2 linked regions of the Drosophila melanogaster genome follow. The gene in region 1 interacts genetically with each later gene. Each region holds a gene or a part of one and is shown in the gene's direction. Other genes may lie near its edges.

Region 1 (3,044 bases):
AAAATACGAGACCTGCACTCGTGCACCGTCTGCAGAGATGCGATACTAACCCGCTGCGTTTCCGTTGCAGGAGAACCGAGATGTCGTTCACACAGATCGCGCGCAGCTGCAGTCGACTGGCGGCCACTTTGGCCCCAAGGAGGGTCGCCTCCGGCATTCTCATCCAATCACAGGCCTCCAGGATGATGCACAGGATCGCCGTGCCATCGATGACCAGCCAGTTGAGCCAAGTAAGCGAACGTCCAAAGCGGTCCCTTCCGTTGCAGGAGCCCCAATCGCAGTTGAGGACCTAACCTCATCGCAAACGGCGGGGTTTCGTGATCTACGAGTTTCAAAACATTCAATTAAGTGCTTGCAATCATGAACGCAACAGAAGATCCTCGCCATGTGGCCGTCGAACCACCCAATTCGATTGCATCACATTATTTTGCATAAAACATGATTGTTTCCCTATCGCACACACACACACATACACCTGCAACACCGGTGCTCGCACTTGTGTGCGGTTGATTGTACTACAGTGAAAATCCTCTAGAAGTGACCTTAAAATGTAGCGGTTTTAAAACATGTGATTTCAGTTTGTTAAATATCTAAATATGTTTCCACGCCAATCCAAGCAATAGTTTTCGCGGTATTTAATCAGTTGATCATACACCATCGAACCACCCTCGTTTAAATTGCGTATATATTTACACTGCTCATTGAAGAATTAGCTAAGTTGTATGCACCATAAGTCGTAGATGAACTACCAATGCAATTATTCATATAGAGACGAAAATTCACTAGACATTAACATTCGCAGAAGTTCGGTGTGCGCAGCTACTCGGCCAAGAGCACCATCGAGGACATCAAGTTCCGCGTGCTAAAGGTTGTCTCCGCCTACGACAAAGTGACCGCCGAAAAGGTAAAGTACCCATTGCATGGCGCCACTAATCCGGTCTTTGTTTCCTTCCTTTTTTTCTCGGGCCGGCCAAAAACCAGGAGTGCCGTGGTCGCTGGCAAACGCAATTGGTGCGCAGATACTCGGCGAAACCGCCGCTCTCGCTGAAGCTGATCAATGAGCGCGTCTTGCTTGTGCTCAAGCTCTACGACAAGATCGATCCCAGCAAGGTAAACGCCACATATTGCCTTTGCCAGTGCAATGGTCGCCTCAGAAATCAGAACTGAACAAAGCTGATGAAACCTTTGAATACCCAATGCTAATGGCTCGCATTTACAGCTCAACGTTGAGTCGCACTTCATCAACGACTTGGGACTGGATTCCTTGGACCACGTGGAGGTCATCATGGCCATGGAGGACGAGTTCGGTTTCGAGATCCCCGACTCTGATGCCGAGAAGCTGCTTAAACCTGCCGACATTATTAAGTACGTCGCCGACAAGGAGGATGTGTACGAGTAAATTGTAATTGTAATGCAAGCCATTGAACGGATTACACTTAAATTTAAATAGAAAACAAGTCAAATACAATTTGATCAACTGAATAAACCAAACGTTAAATTAACTTGTAGTCAGCAATTGTACACGAGGGCTATAATTAACTGCGGAATAGCAGCTAATAAATTAACTATCCAAATAAATAAACGAGTCATTTAGTACTGGCGGTTAAATTTAAATTTCGATAGAAACGTTGGTCTTTCGATTGTTTTAGAAAGCCTTGTGTATTTTAGATACGCAGCGACGGTCACGTTAATCTGCTAGCATTACAAACAGAATATTCGAAATGTCAGACGCTGTGGACAAAATGTTGGCGGGAATGGGTAAATATATCTTTAAACCACCGACACGCGTTCTATTCCGTGCTTCCAATTTCAGCGGCCAATCGGCAGACCATGAACCGCCAGCTGGCTAAGATAGACGAGATAATGGAGCGGTCGAACAACACATTGCTCCACATCGAGTCCAACAGCAAGGCATTCAGTCAGAATGTGGCTTTGTCGGAGACCCAGAAGATGTACAACCTCAGGCCGGAGGCTGAGATGACCCTGTCCAAGATCCTGGAGAACTTCAAGCTGCTCATGTCTAGCAGTGACCAGCGGGAGGAGACATACAGCGCTCTGGAGGGCTGCCTGGCCTACAGGCATCGCGTGGAGCACCTTGGCAGCTCCGTGCGTAAGCTGGTGGCGCTCTACGACACCGTGGGCCAGATGAAGAACTCACAGGAAGAGCAGTATGCCAGCGAGGATTCCCCCTAGCTCATCCATTTTTAGAATTTATTATTATGTTATAGTTGAAAAATAATTTAAATAAATTAAACATTTGATTTGTATTTAAAGCTCTTTAAGCGAGGTTTTCAAATCATGGCCATATTGTAGCTGCTGACTTGGAGAAGCGTATAGGTAAGCACCTCTACGAACATCTCCAGGCGAGCGGCAAGACTCCCGGTGGCGAGTATCTCATTGGGATTGGGCAGCTGGAGGCTGTTGGAGCGCAGGTAGTTGAGCTGTTCCATATTGGCGGCTATGGTCAGAAGCTTCTCCTGCTGCTCGGATGTAAAAGCATCTGGCGGAGACTCACCGCCGGTTGGCATGAGCTTTTCCAGCTGCTGCGCAAATCCATGGAGCTGCGTCAGCTTCTGCTTGTATATGGATTCTGTGGTGTCCAGAGCGGCTGCCTCGTCGTAGATCTTGGCCAGCTTTCGCTGGAAACCCTTAAAATCATTGTACACGTCCACGGCACTGCGCTGCTCCTCCAGACGCGTCAGACTCAGCGAAACGTTGGATGTGTTGATGCCCATGGCCACCGACTCGTCTGCTCCTCGCAGGAGCGTTGAGTTGGTACGTTGTAGCTCCCGCTTCTTGGGCATTTTCTGCAGGTTGGCCGGGTACTCTTCCAAGGTCTTGAAGAGCTCCGCATAGTCGGCTACCGAGCTAAGATCCCTCGGGGGCGTAGTGGCTGCTGCCTCCTCCTCCATCATCTGCTGCAGGCTGTCAAAGAAGGCCCCCGGTTTCATCACCGTCTTGGATACGCACACGTCCTTTAGGTTTCTCACATGTTGCGCGTACTTTCTGTACAACTTGGATGAAATGCTGCTGAAATCTACATT
Region 2 (5,255 bases), on another chromosome or scaffold:
CGAAGTATTGCAGTCATTTTCTCCTCTCGTTCGATTTCCAGTTGCATTATGGTTTCGTCCAGCTGCTCCTGCTTTTCAGTCACCTGAACCCGTAGCTTTTGGGCCACCTGCTCGGCATTCGAGGAGTACTCGCTGAACCTGTCATCCGCTGCCGTGAGACGAGTCTTGAGATCTTTTACCTCTGTTTCCAAATTTTGCTGAGAACATTCGGTTTATTGGTTTACAAAATCTCCATCAATCAGTTTTGGATATTGAGGGTAAACATATATATGCGTGCATTATTGAAGGAAAAAGTTTACCAAAAAGTTTGCCAACGATTAAATCAGTTTAATACGAAAAGGAAAACATTTACAATCAAAAACTACATAATAGGTGTGGTTGGAAAATTCCAAGTAAACCAGGAGCTTAATTGGTAGAGTTAGTACTGCATTGTTGGTTAAATTAGTGTTACAAGTCCCAATGGAAATCGTCAGAATCGGGAGGCATACTCACAGATTTATTGCGCTCAAAGAGGACTTGCTGCTCGTTCTCCTCTCGGCACTCTTTCAGGGCCACACTAAGTTCATCGATTTCCTCCTCCAGCAGCTTGACCTGCAATTAAAGTGCATAAGTATTGGCACATAGGTATTACTATCTAACCTACCTTATCGTCCCGCTGCTTTATTTCATCTTTGGCTTTTTCGAGTTCGAATGATACCTGCTTGCGGCTTTCAATGGCATCGTCGCGGGATTTAAGGGCCTTTCGCTTTTCGGTGGTCTCTTCGGCCACTTGCTTGGATAGACGACTAACTTGGGTTTCCAGCGCCAGATTCTGGCCACTCCACGAGCCTTTGATGTCCGACAACTGCAGATGGGCCTCCTCTAAGTGCTGTTCCAGCAGTTTATGTTCCCGGATAAGGGCTTGCACTTGTTGCTCGGAGTTCAGTTTGCCCAGAGACTCGAGTCGCGACTCCTCGACGATTTTCATGCGCTTTTTGAGGTGCCGGTTCTCCTCCTGTACAGCCGCCAGTGTTGTGGTCAGCAGATTCTTCTCCTGCTGTGTAGAATGTCGCAGTTGCTCTAGTTCGTCGCGTAAATCTTCGGCCACGGATTCAATGGGACGCAGACGTTCTAGTTCCTCGCTCAAGGACTCGATTTGCTGGGTCTGCTGGCGCATGAGACCCATGCGATCCACCGACTCCTGCTCCCGAAAGCTAAGCAGATTCTTCAGCTTGTCAATCTCGATTTGCTGTAGATTCTGAATCTTCTCCTGCTCCTCGCAGTATATGTCCTTCTGCGTCTGGGCCACACGCACACTCTCTAGCAGAATCTCGTTGGTCTTGTCCACGCGCGTCTTCTCCTCCTGCAGCTGCTGCAATCCCTGCGTGACGGTGGACAGCTTCGTGGTGAGCTCGTTGCACTGACTTCGCAGCTCGCACAATTGCTCCGACTGCGAAAAGAGTGAAGGTGTTTGTTTATCCGTGTTTTTGTTTAATGTGTAAGTATACACAAATAGACTGTTTTTTTTTCGCTCAGTTTACCTCATTGTAGAATCCGCCACCGCCCACATCATCAGCTGAGTTGGAATTAATGCTAACGCGGCGACTACGTAGCCGGTAATTGTTGTTGTTGTTGCCGGGATAACGTTGATTGGCTGATTGGACCACATCATCGCCAGTTTCCTCCTTGATCTTGTTTTTCAGTGTAGCAAACATTGTTAGGTTTTTCGAGGGGGGAGCTTTTTCTCTGTTGCGCTGCTCTATTTTCTGTATGTGTACTGCCCCCGACTGAAGTTGGCCTGCTTGTGGCTGGGGCTGACGAAAACGTGCCCACAGAGCGTTTATAGCATGGCGTTATATCTGGTGGCCGTAGTGTTCTACTTGCTTATCAGGCGAATGCTAATTTTCGTAAACCGTCGATGTTGTTTACCATCGATAAGAATCGACTTTGCAGTAACGTAAATCGACGAACAGCGTTGCCATACCGCTGTGTTAACTTTTTCCCGTTGTACGGCAGTGCTGCCAGTGCGCATGGCAGCATTTCGATAACTGACGCCAGAAACAGCTGTTCCAGCGCGCTTCATTTTCCAAACAGAAAAAAAGTGTAATTGTTAGCGTCCTTTGTGAAATTGTCAAGTGTTAGAATTATTGTGTGCGAAAGTTAACTATTTGAGGACCTCCCATGGACCAGTCTAAACAGGTTTTGCGGGACTATTGCGGCGACGGCAATGGTACCTGTGCATCGTCCTTGAAGGAAATCACCTTAATTGAGACCGTGACCAGTTTCCTGGAGGAGAATGGCGCCGCCGAAATCGACAGAAGGGTCCTGCGCAAACTAGCCGAGGCACTGTCCAAAAGCATAGACGAGTAAGTCCAAAACACTAGCATAAACAATAGCTTACCAATAAGACTTGTGTGGCAAATCCATCGAAATCCCTGGCAACTGCGAGTGCGCAGCAGATGATCGCCATGTGACATGGTGATCGTGCCCACTGTGATCGGGAACTAACGCTCTCAGCTGGAGCTCTCCCGCATCCGTACTGCTCGGCCCCATAGGGGGAGGCATACTCACAAGCACAGGCGTACAATGGGCGTATTACCCACCCCAAAAAATTCGAAGAGAGGAACAATAATACATCTGCACTGAAAAAAATTTTAAAGCTAAATTTCCATCAATATTTATTTTAAAATGTTTTTTAAAAACATTAAGTGATTTGGATTAATTTACGATTTTAAATGAAATAAGATTTGTAAGGTACTCTTATAAGATGTACTTTTATTTTTAAGATTGTATGCTTCATCACTTTTTCAAATGCTGAATAGAGTCAAAGTTTAATACATTTTTTTATTATAATCTTTAGATTTACTATTACTATTCTGATTCCTAATGAAAATGAAAATTTAAAAGAAAAAGAATTGGGAACACAAATGTAATCCCTTAAGTATACAACAGATATTTCTGTATTCTATTCGTAGCCAATGAACTGAGTTTGCTGACCGCTTTCTCGCTGTGTACGGCATTGGGAAATGCGTAACATCTGCTGAGCGCATTTTCCTTTTTCCTCGCAGATGAGCCCGAGTTTTCCGCCCGTTTGCTGCTCTGCCTTTGGTCGCTCTGAATCGGTCGCATCGCAGTTTCAGTCAGTTATGTTCTAGCTTTCGGTTTATTTGGACGTGCAGAGAGCGTTTTTCGGTTTATTTTGCTTGCCTCTCGGCTATCAATCGTGCCATATGTACATACATACATATCTATATACTCACTTACCCATATATACATACATATATGTAAATAGAAACAATCAGCGGGTCAAGCGTTGTGCGGGTGTGTGAGTGATTGATTGTACATACATATCTGTACATAAGTGCAATTGTTTATATTGCACTGCGAGATACAAAAAGTGATAGATTGATTTGTAATTTATTGCATTCGTTGCTGTGGATAAGCGATTAGTGGGATGCTGGTGGTTCTCGGATGAAAAACAAAAAACCAAATCGAAATACACAGATATATAAAGTACAAAGTGTGCTCGGATTTACAATAAATGTAATATATACTTAGAAATACTAAAGATATCTGTGCTTGTGCCCCCTGATGCTGCTGCTGCTGCTGTTGTTGTTGTTGTTCGTTTGTCGTTTTTGTCGCCACGATGCTGCGGCTAATTTTAGTCGGAGAAAAAGTATACGAATTAATTTGTTTGTGAAATAGAGCATTCCATGGCTCAATCGACAGCCGCAACAACCTATATCATTATCTGCGTTTTCGCACTTCCTGGAACTCTGAATTTCGTCACAAGTCGTCTTATCAGACTGCAGTTTCGTCGTATGCTCCATGTGTGTGTGTGTGGGTTAGTTAGTTATATACACATGTGCATTCATCAGGGGTCATGGACTCGTGGAATTAACCCCTATGGGGTAAAAACCGAACAGAGCACCTCTTTTGTTGCCCTTCCAAAACTGCAACGCTGACTTCCCTACCCTCGAAAAACAAAGCATCCTGGTTGGTAAAGTACAGTATCGTTTGTATGATATGTAATTTGAGGGATCATAAGTAGAATTTATCATGCAAATGGCTCATTTAGTTTTGTTTTTATCGCATTCATTTAAATTTAAATAAGGAATTAAAAAAAAACACACTTTAGTCATAATTTAATTGAGTAATGTTATATTTTATTTCTTATTCAATTGAAATTTCCTTTCTAATTTTGAACAATAAACATCTTGCATATTTTATGAATGTTTTGATTCGATTTATGAATATGAGTGACATTTGACATCCTGTTCAAAAGCCTTCAAGATTCAGTGCGTCCTTCGTCATATGGTTATTGTCTTAAGATGCTTTCCTCGCATATCACTCGCTATAGTCTCGATCCACTTCTGTTTATTGTTATTGTATTTCTTTGTTGATTAAGGCAGGCGCCTTTGTGTGTCGTTGGCCATAGTTTGACACCCACTCGAGGCGCGCCAGGCAGCCAGGTAGATGAGTCGCGTCTGCGTTCCAGGTGAGGTGAGAATGGGCTGTTAACTGCAGTTTACCTGTCGATGTGAGGGCCCTAAAATGCATTCGCGGCAAAGTTCAGGTGCTAAACGAAGAGACACATGTTCCGGCACGGTTCAAAATGCACACCTGTTGTTCCCAGTGACCAGGTCGCTCAGCTGTCGGCTTAAACCATTGATTTTCATTACCACCATAGTAACCAGCGATAGCCGAATGCCAAAACAAAACAATGAGTGAAAATGTTTGGCAGAATTTTCTTGTCCCGTTCACAAATTGCTGTTTCTAATGCGGTCGCCGTTTTGCTGTTTGCTCAATTCCCAAAATAAATAACGACCAGAGGCGGTGCGTGGTGCAGTGTATGTGGTGGTTAGTATCTTCAACGATGCGGTGGCCCACATGTGCCGTCGTCCAACCCCCCGTCCTGTTGGGGATGCATCCCGTCCGTAGGAGCGCCAGACTCTTTGAAGACTCTTCTTCCGCTCTACGGCTGAATGCTCCTGATTGCTGCTGCGCACGTCGCATCGCCCAGCAGCCCATGACTCATGGCTGCCCGTCCCTTCGAAGACGACATGGCGGATACGTAACGAAGTTTGGCGTGCGCCGCGAAAGTATTTAGGGAATAAAGCCAAGAACAACAACAACAACAGCAGCCGCAGCAGCAGCCAGGAATGACGTGTCCACCCCGTGTAAAAGCAACTAATTAAATCTCAAAATTAGAGTCGCTGCAAATATCTACAGAAGAGAACTGAAGGAAAGTGAAAAGAATATAAATAAACGCTAAT

Evidence for each region.
Region 2: of msd1 (region 1) and cnn, changing one enhances a phenotype caused by changing the other (phenotypic enhancement), as found in Drosophila melanogaster (one study listed by BioGRID).

Annotation. Positions count from the first base shown.
Region 1 is NT_037436.4:1,330,061-1,333,104, forward strand, and holds msd1 (mitotic spindle density 1), read left to right. Parts: upstream 1-1,683; 5' UTR 1,684-1,721; coding exon 1,722-1,758; intron 1,759-1,813; coding exon 1,814-2,193; 3' UTR 2,194-2,266; downstream 2,267-3,044. Other genes in the region: ND-ACP (NADH dehydrogenase (ubiquinone) acyl carrier protein), read left to right, coding at 81-230, 803-889, 982-1,110, 1,220-1,399; msd5 (mitotic spindle density 5), read right to left, coding at 2,292-3,044. UniProt on the Drosophila melanogaster protein: As part of the augmin complex, plays a role in centrosome-independent generation of spindle microtubules.
Region 2 is NT_033778.4:13,447,264-13,452,518, reverse strand, and holds the start of cnn (centrosomin), read left to right. Parts: upstream 1-2,043; 5' UTR 2,044-2,160; coding exon 2,161-2,345; intron 2,346-3,118; exon of another isoform or gene 3,119-3,522; intron 3,523-5,190; exon of another isoform or gene 5,191-5,255. Other genes in the region: Golgin97 (golgin 97), read right to left, coding at 1-197, 493-591, 644-1,429, 1,521-1,694. UniProt on the Drosophila melanogaster protein: Core component of the centrosome throughout spermatogenesis. May participate in mitotic spindle assembly and the mechanics of morphogenesis through an interaction with microtubules, either directly or indirectly. Is a target of several homeotic genes.